3 linked regions of the Arabidopsis thaliana genome follow. The protein of the gene in region 1 purifies or fractionates together with the protein of each later gene. This does not show direct contact. Each region holds a gene or a part of one and is shown on either strand. Other genes may lie near its edges.

The links. Proteins that work in one complex are often made in the same cells at the same time.
Region 2: the proteins of KEG (region 1) and eIF6A purify together in Arabidopsis thaliana (affinity purification with mass spectrometry, with the first as the bait; one study listed by BioGRID). This does not show direct contact.
Region 3: the proteins of KEG (region 1) and CIPK26 purify together in Arabidopsis thaliana (affinity purification with mass spectrometry, with the first as the bait; one study listed by BioGRID). This does not show direct contact.

Annotation. Positions count from the first base shown.
Region 1 is NC_003076.8:4,343,438-4,348,217, forward strand, and holds the start of KEG (protein kinases;ubiquitin-protein ligase), read left to right. Parts: upstream 1-1,764; 5' UTR 1,765-2,180; coding exon 2,181-2,923; intron 2,924-3,749; coding exon 3,750-4,103; intron 4,104-4,183; coding exon 4,184-4,414; intron 4,415-4,595; coding exon 4,596-4,721; intron 4,722-4,780. Other genes in the region: AT5G13520 (peptidase M1 family protein), read right to left, coding at 1-14, 139-1,134. UniProt on the Arabidopsis thaliana protein: Mediates E2-dependent protein ubiquitination. Acts as a negative regulator of abscisic acid signaling. Required for ABI5 degradation, by mediating its ubiquitination.
Region 2 is NC_003074.8:20,632,465-20,637,055, reverse strand, and holds eIF6A (Translation initiation factor IF6), read right to left. Parts: upstream 3,000-4,591; 5' UTR 2,723-2,999; intron 2,500-2,722; 5' UTR 2,476-2,499; coding exon 2,466-2,475; intron 2,378-2,465; coding exon 2,281-2,377; intron 2,187-2,280; coding exon 2,101-2,186; intron 2,000-2,100; coding exon 1,955-1,999; intron 1,583-1,954; coding exon 1,452-1,582; intron 1,203-1,451; coding exon 1,092-1,202; intron 1,002-1,091; coding exon 744-1,001; 3' UTR 501-743; downstream 1-500. Other genes in the region: DFD (DHFS-FPGS homolog D), read right to left, coding at 31-161, 262-271. UniProt on the Arabidopsis thaliana protein: Binds to the 60S ribosomal subunit and prevents its association with the 40S ribosomal subunit to form the 80S initiation complex in the cytoplasm. May also be involved in ribosome biogenesis.
Region 3 is NC_003076.8:7,215,572-7,222,521, reverse strand, and holds CIPK26 (Ca2+regulated serine-threonine protein kinase family protein), read right to left. Parts: upstream 5,279-6,950; 5' UTR 5,016-5,278; intron 4,475-5,015; 5' UTR 4,442-4,474; coding exon 4,271-4,441; intron 4,185-4,270; coding exon 4,122-4,184; intron 4,004-4,121; coding exon 3,932-4,003; intron 3,737-3,931; coding exon 3,629-3,736; intron 3,546-3,628; coding exon 3,465-3,545; intron 3,263-3,464; coding exon 3,209-3,262; intron 3,123-3,208; coding exon 2,997-3,122; intron 2,908-2,996; coding exon 2,818-2,907; intron 2,006-2,817; coding exon 1,883-2,005; intron 1,777-1,882; coding exon 1,666-1,776; intron 1,560-1,665; coding exon 1,446-1,559; intron 1,169-1,445; coding exon 1,112-1,168; intron 1,010-1,111; coding exon 935-1,009; intron 854-934; coding exon 779-853; 3' UTR 501-778; downstream 1-500. Other genes in the region: NdhU (Chaperone DnaJ-domain superfamily protein), read right to left, coding at 1-228; CAM6 (calmodulin 6), read left to right, coding at 6,572-6,647. UniProt on the Arabidopsis thaliana protein: CIPK serine-threonine protein kinases interact with CBL proteins. Binding of a CBL protein to the regulatory NAF domain of CIPK protein lead to the activation of the kinase in a calcium-dependent manner.

The DNA.
Region 1 (4,780 bases):
TAAGTTGTAAATCCCTATTGCCATGAACATGAAATAAACACTTTCCCATCAACAAGGCAAACTCTAAAAACGGACACACAGTTACACATCCTAATTTGTAGCTAAAAGAAGCAAAAGCACAAGACAATTCAAAGCTACCTCATTCAACCAGAAGTGTTCATTGTTGATATTAGTGATCAAATTCCCAGTCCAGCTATGTGCGAGCTCGTGAGCTACAACTTGAGCTCCAGTGGCGTCTCCTTTGATAACAGTAGGCGTCAGGAAAACCATTCTTGGATTCTCCATACCTCCATAAGGAAAACTCGGAGGCAGCACCAGTAAGTCAAATCTCTCCCACTCGTAATCTCCAAACAGCTTCTCCCCTTGCTTGATCATATCCTCCGTTCCTGCAAACTCCAGAGCAGCCGCATCTAGAACTTCAATGGCGGCAGATTCTGTGTATACCCGAGTCCTAGGTCCAACTTCCCGAAACCCTAACTCACCAACGGCAAAAGCAAATAGATAAGGCGGTATAGGCTGTTCCATAGCAAACTCTTCCACAACTCTATCCTCACCACACCACAGTGACGACCCCAGCGACCCAGCCTCGAGATGTTTAGCCTCCTCAGGAACCGCAAGCCTACGACGGACGTGGCGAGCCGACATGACGGCAGAGAGCGAATTCGGTATGTTCATAACGACGTCGTAACGGATCCTCGCGGCAGGAGTGTCCTGGCATGGGAAAATGGATCTGGCGTGAATCGCTTGACACTGCGTGTAGACATAAGGATGCAATTTGGAGAAAGTTTGAAGCGGCGAAAGCCACTGGAGAGCGGAAGCAGAAGGCGAAGTGGAGTAGACAATTAGCAGTGAAGATTGACCGGAGAGGACTACGACAACTTCGGTGCCCCGAATTCGATCCGGTGTGGTGGAGACGGAGTAAGGGATAGGCTCGAGAGTGAGAGGATCGAGGACCATAGCAATGGAAATGCAGCGAGTATCAAGAGAGAGTTCGCCGGAGAAGGCGGAGGAGAGAGTGAGGAGAGCGGAGCCATGGATTATGGAGGTGTTGAAATCGAGGTAGAGGGAGAGAGCGACATGCGTGGTGAGAGGATGAGAGGAATCGGTGAAAGAGTGTGGATCAATGGGTGCCATTGCTGAGTGAGAGAAGCTTGCTTAGGGTTTTGAGGAAAGGGGCAGTTAGAGAGGTGGAGAAGAGAGTATAAAGCGGGAGAAAAAGAAAAAATGAAGAATTGTTGTTCGATGGTACCATTTTATGATGATAAATAATGTATTTTTGGAATAATTTGGTTAATGGAGAATCATTTAGTGCATAAAGTTGAAACCGTTAGATATTAAACGGCGACTAAATACAATGTTAAACCCAAGTTGGATGAACCAAAAGCACACCAAGCCACCAACAATCCTGAGATTTTTAACAACCATCTTTTTGGGCTTGAGCCTCTATTGAGCTTCAAGTTTTAGGTCCATGAGTTATACACTCACACGAGTAATCTACTTAGCAACAAACAACGAGTTTACATTTTGGTATTGGTGTCAGATTTATCGTCTCATTATTTGGTGAACTCTATTACAAGATCAAACAATCTATTTGTTTTTGCATTTGGCTCAAAAGCTACTTGGTAAAAACTTCGCCAAAAAAAAAAACTCTCAGTAAAAATTACAATTATTTTTTCCTGATGGTTTAAGTTGTTGATGACAACAAATATAAAATCTGATGGTTGACGATTACTACTATTAGGAGAGTCAATAAACGGGTTCGAGCACAAGTGCTGACGGCACCCACCCGTCAAAACCGACGAAACCAGAGAGCCCTCGAGACTCAACCCCAAATAAAATTGGAAAAAAATGAAAATAAAAATAAAAATGATGATATAAAACCCTGAAGAAGAACCTTTTTCACATTTTTCTTACAATTTTTATTCTTGCTTGCTCGTGTCTGATTTTTCCCAGCCAATTTTGATCTACCTTTCAAAAATTCCACCTTTTTCTTTCTTCTCCATGGATCTGTTCTTCTCTCCTTGATCTGGATCGACTTTACTGAGTTTCCTTCCCCCCCCCCCCCCCCCAGATATGTTCTGAGGAACTCTCTCTACTGAATTGATTGGTCTTTCACTCCCTTCTTACTCTTTGATCTCGCGACCTAAATTAATTTAGGGCTTTCTCTTTTCGGAGCTCTCATGGTTGGGAGAGTCAAGGTCCCTTGTTGTTCCGTGTGCCACACGCGGTATAATGAAGATGAGAGAGTTCCTTTATTGCTTCAATGCGGCCATGGCTTCTGCAAAGATTGTCTTTCCAAGATGTTCTCTACTTCTTCCGACACAACCCTCACTTGTCCCCGGTGTCGCCACGTGTCTGTTGTTGGGAACTCTGTTCAGGGTCTCAGGAAGAACTACGCTATGCTTGCTCTCATTCACGCCGCATCCGGCGGCGCTAACTTCGATTGCGATTACACGGATGATGAGGATGACGACGATGAAGAAGATGGTAGTGATGAAGATGGAGCTCGTGCCGCTCGTGGATTTCATGCCTCAAGCTCGATTAATAGCTTGTGTGGTCCAGTGATCGAGGTCGGAGCTCACCCGGAGATGAAGCTGGTGAGGCAGATTGGGGAAGAGAGTAGTAGTGGTGGTTTTGGAGGTGTGGAGATGTGGGATGCAACTGTTGCAGGCGGTGGTGGACGGTGTAAGCACCGTGTGGCGGTGAAAAAGATGACTTTGACGGAGGACATGGATGTTGAGTGGATGCAGGGACAGCTTGAGAGCTTGCGGAGAGCATCCATGTGGTGTAGGAATGTTTGTACTTTCCATGGGGTTGTGAAGATGGATGGATCTCTTTGTCTTTTGATGGACAGGTGCTTTGGGTCTGTTCAGTCTGAGATGCAACGCAATGAAGGCAGACTTACTTTGGAGCAGATTCTAAGGTTCCTCTTTTGCTTCTCTTATTCTTTTTTTTTGCCTAGTATCTGGCTTTTACTGTGATCGTTTCTGTGCTTAAAGTCTCAAACTTTGATAGCCTGTTCCCTAATTAGAAATTACTGGACTAGACCCGACTTGGTTTTTTGTGATTGCTATTAGAAATATATATTGTAAGTGCACAGTTTTTCAGATTCTAGTGAAACAAGCAACTAAAACCTGGTGTCATTTGCCAAAAGGGCAACTTGTAAGATAACTTTAGTTTAGATGTTCTTAAAAAGCTAGGCACGAATTATAGTAGTTGTCATCTCTCTTTGTCATTACCAGCTGCAGCTACTTTTCATCTGTCAATGCCTCAATAGACAAACATTTTTTGGACTAGTCCTTTCCTTTTTAGTAGTGGATCCTTGAACCTACGTTTGCAAGATATCTTTGAGAAAGCCCTTTACATTAGTATGCTTCCTTCTAAAGTATATGACCAGAAATCATTTTTCAACGAACTGACATATCAAATCATGCAAAAAATTGTACGAATTGTTATACATTAATTTATCAAAGGACGCATCATCTAAAGATGATCCTTATTTTGTTGTCCTGGTTCTAATATTACCTTCAATTCACTTGTTTGTATTTCCTCCTATTTTCTGTTTTTAACTGAATTGCGTCATTTGGGACTATTAAATGTAAGCACTAATGCGTAAATGAGTGTTTTGTATTCTCCTTTCATATCGTGCTCATGTTGTTTTAAGTTTACAACTTAGAATATTCCTTCAGTGACCAACATATGTATTATTCCATTGCTCTTGTTGTGATATTAAATTTTACCAACTGTAGATATGGGGCTGATGTTGCTCGAGGGGTTGCAGAACTCCATGCAGCAGGTGTTATCTGTATGAATATAAAACCTTCCAATCTTCTTTTGGATGCAAGCGGCAATGCTGTGGTTTCTGATTATGGGCTCGCTCCCATCCTAAAGAAGCCAACATGCCAGAAAACTCGACCAGAGTTTGATTCCTCAAAAGTCACTCTATACACGGACTGTGTAACACTCAGTCCACACTACACTGCCCCAGAGGCTTGGGGACCGGTGAAAAAACTTTTTTGGGAGGATGCAAGTGGTGTATCTCCAGAATCAGATGCATGGAGTTTTGGCTGTACGTTAGTAGAGATGTGCACTGGATCCACTCCGTATGTGAAGCCTCTTCCTAGTTGATATTTCAGTTGTGTTTTGTGTCTGCCATTGTACTAACTGTCACTTAATTTTACAGGTGGGATGGTCTTAGTAGAGAAGAAATTTTTCAAGCTGTTGTGAAAGCCCGAAAAGTACCACCACAGTATGAACGCATAGTGGGTGTGGGAATTCCTCGGGAATTATGGAAAATGATTGGTGAATGTCTTCAGTTTAAACCGTCGAAAAGACCAACCTTTAATGCAATGCTTGCTACATTTCTTCGTCATCTACAAGAGATACCACGTAGCCCTTCAGCAAGCCCTGATAAGTAAGAGTTTTAAGTCCCTAAGATTACTTAGTTTTATGGTTTCCCTGTTTTCGTTGCTTGTCAGTAAAGAAGACCCTTTCACTTGTGTTAAGATTAATATTAGCACCAACACCTAAGATTATTTTTGTCATCATGCCTATATTCCTTCGCCTAACAATAATATAAACCATGTATGATGTAGTGGGATTGCCAAAATATGTGAAGTAAACATTGTACAAGCACCTCGCGCGACTAACATAGGGGTCTTTCAGGATAACCCTAACAACCTACATCGGGTTGTTTTGGAGGGAGACTTTGAGGGTGTAAGGTTAGTATCTGTTAGGAATTCTAGTTAATCCTTTTGTTCGCACTAGCTATAAACAACCT
Region 2 (4,591 bases), on another chromosome or scaffold:
ACACACAAAAAAGCTTAAGTGATTTGTAACCTTGAGATAATGAAAGAGCAAACGGAATCGGTGAGATTGGTTGTTACTAGCTAAACGGCCACGTTTTGTGATCAAAGACGACAATGCATCCAACGTGTTCTGGTAACGAGCTGACAATTCACCATCGTCTTCTTCATTTTGTTTCCCGGCAAACAAACAGAAAACGTAAAAGAATGAACACACAAAGTCAGAAAAAGTCATAAATCAGTTATAGAGAAACAGAAAATTTACCAGTTGCCATAGAAGAAGAACAAATCCAAAAATTTCCCAAGTTTCAATTTTGATGTCAGCTTCTCTAATCGTAGAGAAATGGGTTTAGAGATTGGAAATGAAAGGTCCTAACTTTCAGTTTAATCTTCAAACTATCTAAACGAAAAAGGTGTTAACTTTATCTACACACATATAATTGCAGAATTCGGATTTGTACCGAACAAAACCGTTATCCATTCACCAATGGTTTCTTCTCCACTAAAATTTGAACCTAATGTGGACCCCAAATTGAAAATTGAAAATGTGTGTAGTATTAAGGAGAATTTTCTTATCACTTACTCAGAAAGATTCAAAGAGACATCAACAGATTTCCTTTAAACTGTTAAAAACCACACAAAAATAAAATAAAACAGCTAATTCTTGCAAACAGTAGAGTATGAAAATTTTCTGACATTGACACATTGGCGATGTTGGGATGTGTGTGTCATCCAAACAAACAAAATTTAAACATAGGTATCGATCAATGACTTCCTCATCTCATCGACGATAGAGCTGGGTTGGGCTTCCCTTAGCTTGAAGATGCTGTCTATGACAGAGAGCTCAGTCGCAGTTGTGTCTGAACCGCAGAAAGAGGTCCAATCATTAACGGTCATACCCGCAGCGATAACTTCACTACCACGGTTCACGGTTCCTGCAACGAGAGGGACTTGAAGAAGTGTTGAGAGTTCTTCCAAGTCTTCCACTGAGGTGTGAGGATGGACCTATTTGAGAAAAGACATTCAAATTCTAATGAGAGACCAATGCCAATGCCATCCATTTCCGAAGGGAAGTTATGTTTTTCATTCTCTTACCATTCCACCTTTGTTGGATAGGGCACAGTAACTGCCCACGAGAATGTTGCCTGCAATTGTCTGACGGAAAACTTCAACGCCAAGTACATCCGCTATTATTTCCTCGGTTTCCTATCAAAGCAAAATAAAAACACAAGAACCAGAGGCATCAAACCAAACGCCATACGTACAACTCTGTTATCGTTATCATCATCATCAGAAGATATAAGATTCATGGTGATTACAAAGGCTTAATTACATTTCTGCTAACTTTTGTAAAAATGCGCACTTATTCTTTCACCATTTCTTGCCAGTCATGAAAAGAGTATATGTTTTTGAAAAGGTTTCATTAGAAAAATAAAGTATGACATGAATCTTTACCTTATCAAGATCGGTGTGGGCAAGAGCTACATAGTCATTGCAGGCAATGCAATTTCCAAGAGCAGACAGACGTTCATCAATTCGCTGGACCACAACTTGATCAGGTAGACTGTTCCTTAAGTGTTGAAGCTCTGGACGAGTAAACATAAAAAAATAAGCAGGACTCAGGAGATGCAACCAATTACAGACCTAAAACCTATATAGATTTCTAATATAAAAGAACAAGAGACTCAATAAATATTGCAACATTACAAAATCATCAACAAGTTAAGGAGGAAAATCATCTTCACCAAAAGCTTATTCAGTTATAAAAAGTCCACTCATAAACTGAAATGAAACAGGTATGGGCAGAGGCGCAGAGTAGATGCTTCAGGCAAGTTACATAAAAGATATTCACCAAAAACTCTACAATCTCTATCTCAGACAACTGGATCATGCTGGTATTAAACAATCAATTCTTAATTGTTATGAGAAACGATCTGAGGAAAGAAGTATAAAATTACCTTGGTCAGTTGTTGTATGAGGTACAAGAAGCCCATTCTTGTTTCCTATACGAAGAAACACAAAACCACATTCACTACGCTAAAGTAATGAAATAATCACGATGATTTGAAGCAAGAAAATATAACAGCTAGTTGAGAAAGCTAACCAGCACAAAGACGCCCAATAATTCGTGTTCCTCCAATAGAGGTCTTAACAATAGGGATAACATCTGCTAACTCCGACTCAAAAGCACTACACAAATCATCAAACCAAAAACATCAAAAAAGTGAAATAGAAGAAGCAAAAACAATACTGAAAACTTTACAGAGAAAAAAAAAAAAGGTACCTGTAAAAGTTCTCAGAGCCTCCTATAGCGACTAAGCAATAGGCATTAGTGAGTTTGGAAAAGACACCAACTTCGCAGTTGTTCTCAAACTGAAGACCTGCGTATTACCCACAAATCCCATTAAGGTCAAATACACAGAAGAGTAAACACAACAATATCATAAGTAAGCTCTGCAGAAAACTTACGAGTCGCCATTAGAGGGAGGAGGCTAACGTACACCTGCGTAGATAAAGAAACATGAAAACGAAATTAGGGTTTATATACGTCACAGATATCAACGATTCGTTAACAATTAGGGTTCACAAAATCCATGTCTCTAAAACAGAAAGTTTCGATTTTTCGATTATATTACAAGACGGGGACGGGAACAATTAGGGTAACAAAATCAATTGACTTGAAGATGGTGTTTGTTTGGTATAACAAGGAAATAGGAGAAGCTTACTTGAGATGGGGTGAATTCGAGAGAGAAGAAGCGGCGAAGAAGAAGAAGAAGAAGAAGAAGAAGAAGAGAGAAGAACAATTGGAATCAAAAGGTTTTTGTTAAGAAGAAGGGTTGCGCCGGCCCTGGGTTATAATCTAAAAGAAGCCACCGTTTGGGCCCTAATTTAAAGGAGGCTCCAATTATACATCATTAAAAAAAGATTTTAAATAAATTAAAAAAAAAAGAAGACAAATTATCTTGTTTGAAAGCCTTGGAGGAAAAGGAATGTTGAAAGTACAATATCAATAAAATGAAGATGTTAAAAAAAAAAAAAAGTAATGTTGAAAGTCAAGACTACTTTTGAAAACTATTTTGATTATATTTGGAAAAAAATGTTGAGAGTTTTTATAATGAAATCAGTTTTTTTTTGGTGAGAATGTGATTTGGAAAAATGTAAGTGGTGAATAAGAGATGGAGTAAGATTATAGTTGGTAATGGGGAATTGGAGCATGTAAAATGAGGTATTGTAGAGATGTTTTAAGTGGCAATCAAAAGTCATTAAAGTTGGGTTTGAGATTATGATATTAATGGTGTATGTTGTGGATTCTTTAAAATTAAAAATACTGTAGTAGTGTAGTTGGTTTTGGCTTGTAAACTTGGTGTTTATAGTATTTAATTTTATTTGGGGGGCATTTTGCTAAGCAGAATTTAACCAAAATTTACAAACGTGGTTATACTGTATTTGTTTATGTCTCTTACTTGAAATAATCTACAAGTTAGTGGTATAGAAAAAAAAACTACTACAAATTAGAGTAAAAGCCCATTATTGCAAAGGAAAGAGGGCAGCTAAAGCCCATTATTGGAATATAAATCTTTTAAAAAACATCTGCATATCTCTATTCGATTTTTTAGAACTTCACAACATCTCGAGAACATATGCATATCAAACATAATGGGCAGTGTCTCCATTCAATTATTGTCGAATACTTTTCCTGATGTAGCACGAATGGTATCTTTATTTTTATGTTTAATAAAGGGTTCTGTTTCTTTCTTCTATAGTAGTTGGTTTGTATTAAGCTAAATCTCGTTTTGATTATCACTCAAAGCATTTTTCACGATGACTGAATTAACTTTAATAATGTATTAACTGTTTGATAAATAAATAAAAAAAATGTATTAACTGTTTTTCTTTTATTTTCCTGTCGGTCTATAGCTCACTTATGTCTACATTAACTTTTATTTCTTGTCGACATGTCTCTATTAACTTTTAATCGATGAAATTTTTTTAATAGCACAGTGATAATGATTCTTTGGATTTTCTTCTTCTATATGCGTCGTCTTGTCACCACGTATATTAAAATAAAACAAAATAGAAGACTTATTATGTCAAGAGTTTTAATTTTAACCAACCTTTTAGAACAATCAAACGTTTTTCTAATAGAGTCGTTCCAAACAAAAGAGAAACCTTTTTTAGCCGGTGTTGTTCAAGTTTTTTAAAACTCTCGTGAAAAGGATGCAAGGAAAATATCTAAACGGCTACGAGATTTTCCAGTTCGTGAAGAAAACTGCAGAAAAGGAAAAAGAAATAAGTGTAACTTCTTGTTTGCTTGTATTATATAGTCTCTGAACGTGACGGCACTAGACTTTTCCACTTTTGGAAGCTCGTCGTGATGACCTCTTTTTCTTCAAAATACATTTTTAACAATTTAATTCAAACAGTACCAATCAAAATTTGCCTTTAATTATTATTATTGTTTTATAAAAATTCGGAGGTCACTATTGAGTCGAGAAACGCTATATAGTTAATTCCATTATACGGAAATTAATTAGTAACTCCATTGAAACCATCCTACCAAAATCCAAATGGCTCGTGTTGCATATTGGCTGAAC
Region 3 (6,950 bases), 2.9 Mb from region 1:
TAAAGATGGAGACTCTTTCGGTGCTTCATCAACGGCGGTGCTAGATCCACCTTCGGTTTCTGCCTCCGCCGATACTTCGCTGGAGTTCCTAGCCGGCGAACAGATAATCCGCTTCGTGTTGATAGTTGGCTTCCATGGGAAAGAGCACGTGCTTGGTACGTGATGGAGGACTGATTCACCGGGAATGTGGACTAAAGATGGTTGAGTTATCGTCGATAAGGAAGCCATAGCTCCAAGGTTTACACACCAAACACACAAATATTTCGAATTTTAATTGATAACGGATACCAAAATTGTATCAACCATAGAAATCTAAGCGGATAAATAAATAATGCAGGTCCACTATAATAAGACACAGCTATATAGTATTAGTTATGATTCTTTATCAACAAGGTCGTTGTAGTATAGTGGTAAGTATTCCCGCCTGTCACGCGGGTGACCCGGGTTCGATCCCCGGCAACGGCGATTTTTTATCTTTTGGTGTTAGATTTAGAAACGATGTCGTTTTCAGCTTACTTCAACGTTCTTACAGCATCTTTGAGCATTAATAGTAGTAAGTAAACCCAGTTAGACAAAATGTTTGTGACACAACACAATCGAAGTTTGCAATTATATGAACAGCATAAACTTACTGCACATGCTTCGATATCTACAGAGTCATCAATCTCATGGCTTTTTGTCTCTAATATTTAAAAGAATTGAGTCTTGAAAGAAAGTATCAGCAAAAAGCTAAATAAAAGATAGTCAAAGCAAGGACTTGAATCATCAGTCTTTTTTCTTATTTGCTTAGACCAGAGCTCTCGCCAGATTTCCAAACCACATCGTTAAGTGAGGTTGAGAGCTTCTTGTAGAACTGTAAAGAAAGTAGATGAACAGAGATATAAGAATCGGTCCTCAAGTGAACATATTAGTCGAAAACTTGAAAAATGATTACCTTATGGAATTCTAGTGTATCCCCTTTCGTTTTCCGGACTTCGATCATATGAAGAGACGGTGATACTTGAAATATCTACAAAACATTATAAGATACGGTCACTTCTTTAGTTCCATGACAATTTGGATTCAGATACTAACTTCATAACAGAAAAAGAGTCAGGAGTGCATAATGTACCTCAGTTGCAACTCTTAGGTTTCCTTTCCTTCCAGCAGTCACGTTTTCAAGTCTCATCTGTGTACATAAGTAGCGCTTCAGTAAAAGGAAACTTCCACACCGTAACGAAGTGAGCAATGAGGGTGATAATATGTTAATTAGGACCTTCATTTCTACCCTAATAGGTAATCCGTCTATAAGTGAACTTGTTGGTGAGGTTCGAGTTTATCGATTTATACCAAGGGAGTGAGTCTTTTTATCATGTGTTTGTGATTCTTAACTCTAACAGGAAGCCATCTAAGAAAAAGGAAAAGACGATGCCAATAGCTGTTAAGGTTTCACACGATCGCATTACCTTATAGTTTTTCTTTTGAATATCGAAACCAAGCGGCTTAGAAGCTTCTTCAATCTTTTGGACTAAATCATTAGCAGCACCTTTAGCAGCAAATCTCGTTTCTCGCTTGAATCCCTGCAAGTTAAACGGTATAGACTTCATTACTGAAAATATAATGTGGAAAAACAAGTGTTTGCTCAAGGATTCAAGCAAATAAGTATGTTAAGTCTAAGAGACATACCTCTTCTTCTTCAAACAAATTCCCGAGATCCAGAGCTCTCGACATTGATATCAACTCAAAGGCATTCATTGAAGTTGGTTGCTCCTCTTTCTTTTCTGTGACATGATGCTCCTGTTAATAAATTACAGACTGTTATGTACATTTATTCAAGTAACTTGAAAAAAGGAAAAACAGTTCATTTATCTTATAGATCGCAGACAAAATAAATAAGACTCACTTCTGAATCTTTGAAAACAGCGTCCACATCATCCAAGTTGGCTTCTTCCTTCTCCTCGAAAACAGCTGGCTTGTAATTTTTCTTGAACCACGCATCTCCCAGAACCTCTGGAATTGTGATACGCTGGCACGTTAACACACAGTCAATTAGTTCCACCGTTGAAATCAAGGACGAGCGGCTTTAGTCGCAGATGTTTTGAATGAGTTTAAGTTTAACATGCAAGACACAAAAAAAAGTAATAAAGAGTCGAAGAGGAAATATAGAAAGACTTTGATATAAAAAGTAGATAAAAGTGATTACACAAAGAATTCAAGAGCTTAAGAAATAGGAAACCCCCCCAAAACCCAGAATAAGAAAACACATAAATAAGCCCTTAGTTATATATCATGATTAAGATACTAATCAAACAATCTTCACCAAATCATAACTGAATATCTATCATAATCCGCTATGTATATAACTAAAAAATACAGGAGAATCATAAACTTTTGAGCAATTTAGAAAGATTATGATAAAATCTACCAGCAGAAGCTCATTGCAGGTAGATATCCCTAAAAGAAAATGTCAGCTAGAATGGAAATTATTAATTTATATGACACAGAAACGTACAGTTACTTTAAACAAGTCAATAATTCTGCTTACACGTTGTGACTCAATTTACAAAATAGTAAATGATGCCTAAATATGAAGAAGTATATTTGATATTAAACCTAATGCTAAAAATAGAACAAGACAAACAATAGAATGCCACTTTGGTGGGTTAGGCCGTTAGGGCTTAGACAATCAAATCTTCCCATATATGTTACCCTGGTAAGCCCTAACCTACCTAAGTGTCTAAGAATAAAAACAAGACAAGATTGTTGGGGTTCGACTGAAGAAAACAAAAGAAGAATAGATTTAAATCTTGAAAGCATTAATAAACTGAAATATCTTACAGTCATAGGGTTTGGATCCAAGATTCGGACAATCAAGTTCTTAGCACCAGGAGAGAGCCAAGGAGGACAATGATATTCACCAGCTATTATCTGAGAAATGACGAAAGTGTTAACATAGAAACAGTAATCACCGATAATGGTGAAAGAAGAAGCTTTGAAAAAATGACAAAACTTCTTACCTTTTTATACAGCGTCATGAGATTAGAATCCTCGAAAGGCAAGTAGCCAGCAAGTAGTACAAAGAGTATCACTCCACAGGACCACAAGTCTGCGGTTGCCCCGTCATAACCTTGATCATTAAGAACCTTGTGACAAGAGCAACAACGAAGCTATTAGTAACATAACATGGTGCAACAACCGCATGACATACAAGACACATGCCTAAGCATACCTCAGGAGCAGCATAGTTTGGAGTTCCGCATGCAGTGTGAAGAAGACCATCACCCTGCCAAGACCAAATAAGTTTGATAAGCTGAGAATCTAGAATGGTCAGTATTCAGAGCTTATTAAATATATGTATAAACAGTCAATGAGACACATCGTCGTTGAACTACAGGTTTCTTCATTAGAATAGGACAAGGACAAATCAGTGAGAATTCAGGTAAACAAAAGGATGCTAAGAAAGAAAAATAAGACTCAGTGATTACCCTGACTTGTCGGGACAACGCACTCAATCCAAAATCAGAGACTTTCAGATTTCCTTGAGCATCTAGAAGCAAGTTTTCCGGCTGCAGTGAAATTGTAAGTATCAATTATCTGCACATTAAAGAAACATACTGCAAACTTGGGCATAAACCAAAAAATATCATACCTTTAAGTCCCGGTGGTACACTCCCCTGCTATGGCAGTAATCAACTGCATTAATAAGCTGCTGAAAATATTTCCGTGCATTCTCTTCTTTCAAGCGCCCATCATGTACCTTCACAAGTTTACACATAATGCAAAGGTTAAATCTACAAAGGTTAAATCTACATCAGAGATAAGAGAACGTTTCAATTGCAAGAAACAGGAACATCTATCAAGATTGACCAGAGCTTAGCATACATGTTCAAACAACAATAGATGGATCAAGTAACAATTATAAATCCATTGGGAGGGATTAAGGAAAACTCACAATTTTGTCAAAAAGCTCTCCACCAGTGCCGAACTCTAGAACAATATATATCTTAGTCTTGCTCGCCAAAACCTGGAACGGTATCAATCATTTCCTTAAAAGTTAGCTTCAGCACATTGGCTTCACATACAAAGAGCTCTAAAGCAAGCCAAAGAAAAATAGAGACACAAATAGAAAAATGGAGATATACCTCATACAGCCGCACTACATTTGGATGGTTTATCAGCTTCATAGTACAAATTTCTCTCCTTATCTGTAAAAACAATCAGGAAAGACACACATCATACTTTTGGACTGAAGATGCATCTAGTATATTATCTTATTAGGAAAGAGAGTTACCTGTTCAGCCATCTTATGCTTAAGAACCTTCTCCTTATCAAGTATTTTGAGAGCCACGCGTTCTCCTGTCTCAGTATTAACAGCACACCGAACTTTCGCAAAAGTGCCTTGTCCAAGCGTCTTTCCAACCTCATACTTTCCAACACGACGCTGAACCTTTGGCCGATTCATCACTCCGAATGTTCACCTCTTGATCTTCAAAAGCTGTTTTTGGAAAATGTAATCTCGCATATAAGAATGATTCCATGAAAAGAATCCAACACAACAACAGGCAAGATAGTGTTTCTTTGCTCAATTCACGGAAACTAAATGCAAAAAAAGTGAAAGAAACCGTCAAGAAAAGAACAGTAATATGCCACAGAATTCAATAAAGACAAAGCGTAAAAACAGCTGAAAATCCACAAGGCAATGACAAATCTAGCAGCGGAGATTTTCTCCGGAAATTCCGATCATCCTTTTTAATTACTCCAAAAACAGCCTAAATCTCTAGAATCATGACTTAGATAAATCATATATTGTTCAAGCAAGCATCTACAAATCCAAAATTCTCCACTAAACCAATATTTGTACTGATACACAATTGAAGCGAGATTCTCGAGTTAGCTACAGAACTAATCATCATCACCATCATATAATATAGAGATTATGCACACTTTACACATAAACCAAAAGCGTAAGCAACTCTCTAAGTTACCGAATTACTCATCGAATTCGAAGCAAAAACATGGAGAATCGACCAACAAACCTGCAAAATTGGACGGAGAAAAGTGAGCGAGTAGAGGTGACAAAACCGATGTAGCCGCCTTTGGGGAGCTCAAGAGTTAGCAGGAGAAATTCAAAAGAAAATCTATGGCGGAGAATTCGCAGGAGAAATAAAAAAATGATGGGCTAATACAAGGAGCAACAAGAGATAGAGATGCGACGAAAGAGATACGATGATTGTAGAGAAATTTGTAGCTAACAGACAAAAACTTATTTAATTTCGTGTAGGGACTCTCTCACTTTAATGGACACTTGTTTTTTAATTTTTTTTTTTCGTATGGGACAATTATACGTTTCTTTCCTTTGTTAAGCTCCTCAATTTTCTTAAGAAATAAAATTATGTTTTTTGCCTTTTTTGGTCAATTATTTTGGGTTAATTAATGTAATGACAAAATATTTGAGTATTCAGATTTTGACTAGATATGGACCTAATCAATAGGTGTTTTTTTTTCTTTCTCATTTGAGTTGTTTCTAAGTAATCGATGAATTCTTATGTTTTTGTTACAGACCATTTAAAAAAAAAAATAGTTGTAACTGATTTTATCCACTATTATATATTTTTAAGTCTTAACTCTGAAGTATATATGAGTTTTTTGTAAGAAAGAAAAACCGTTGCTTCTTCACTCTCACTTACTTACTAGTCACTACAAAGTTCAACAAAAGTCATACATTGCAACCGTTTTGTGTAGTGTCAATGGTTATAGACTGATGACAATTATTAGAACATTGAACAAATCATCAACGGCAAAAGCTCATTAGACTCATTTGTAGCGAGTACATATATATTCTAGAGGTGTGGAATAATAAGACTCATATAAATGATCGAACACTCTTTTTGTTTTTAATATAAAAACTAAAAAAATTTAAAAACAGTTTACTTGGAAAAAATGTAGAGATATTGACTAACTTTTTTATTAAGTATCCATTTAAATTAAAACAAAACATGTAAAATCGATTCAAGTTTAACTATTTCTACAAAAAAGTGTATTCATGTAAAATTTTTGCTTATACATATCCGTTTCTGTAACGTAAATTTAGAGGATACTCTAATCATTTCATATGTATCCATATATTATTTTTTTCAACATATTATAAGTTTTTTTTTAATTTTCCAAATTAATTAATATCCTTAAATATCTATCCTAGTTTAAAAACTTTTTATAATTAAATATTTAAATGAAAAAAATAATGTCAAAAGTTTAATTGATATACTGTAAAATATTCTACTAAATCAGTTTTGAAAATAGTCAAAAAAAATTAATAATTGTTAATTTGATAGATTTATTACCTAGTATATATGTCTAAATTAACTGCAAAGGTTATAGTTTTCTTTATAATTGTCTTAAAAAACTAAACTAAAAAGACAAAAAAATCATAAGAATTACTGAATTAGCTAGTAAATCTTTAGAGGCCCAACCATAAGTTGTTGGGCTCTCTCTCTTTTATAAGCTCTCTTGCTGAATTATTATTAGAGAGGCAAATAATATATTCAGTAGCAAAAAAAAAATCTGGGATTTCTAAAAAAAGGTAAGAAGGAAAATGGCGGATCAGCTCACCGATGACCAGATCTCAGAGTTCAAGGAAGCCTTTAGCCTCTTCGATAAGGATGGTGATGGTATGTTTCTTTCCCAGATCTTTGCGTTTTTTCCCCGATGATTACTCCGTCCGTATACGAGTTCTGGAATTTGTTTGACAGATTTATGATCTTCTTCAGTTTTCTGTATGATTCGTGTTTGTTTCACTTGTGAACGATCTAGCTTTTGGCTAATTCGATAGCGATTCATGACTCACGCTGTGTTTTGTTCTTGTTCTGGTTCAGTCTCGTGATGCAGCAATGAAATGTTTTGGGAAATTTATCCATATGTTGAGATTTTGAGTAGTTTAATTGTTGAAAAAAGGATTGATGTTGTAGATATCA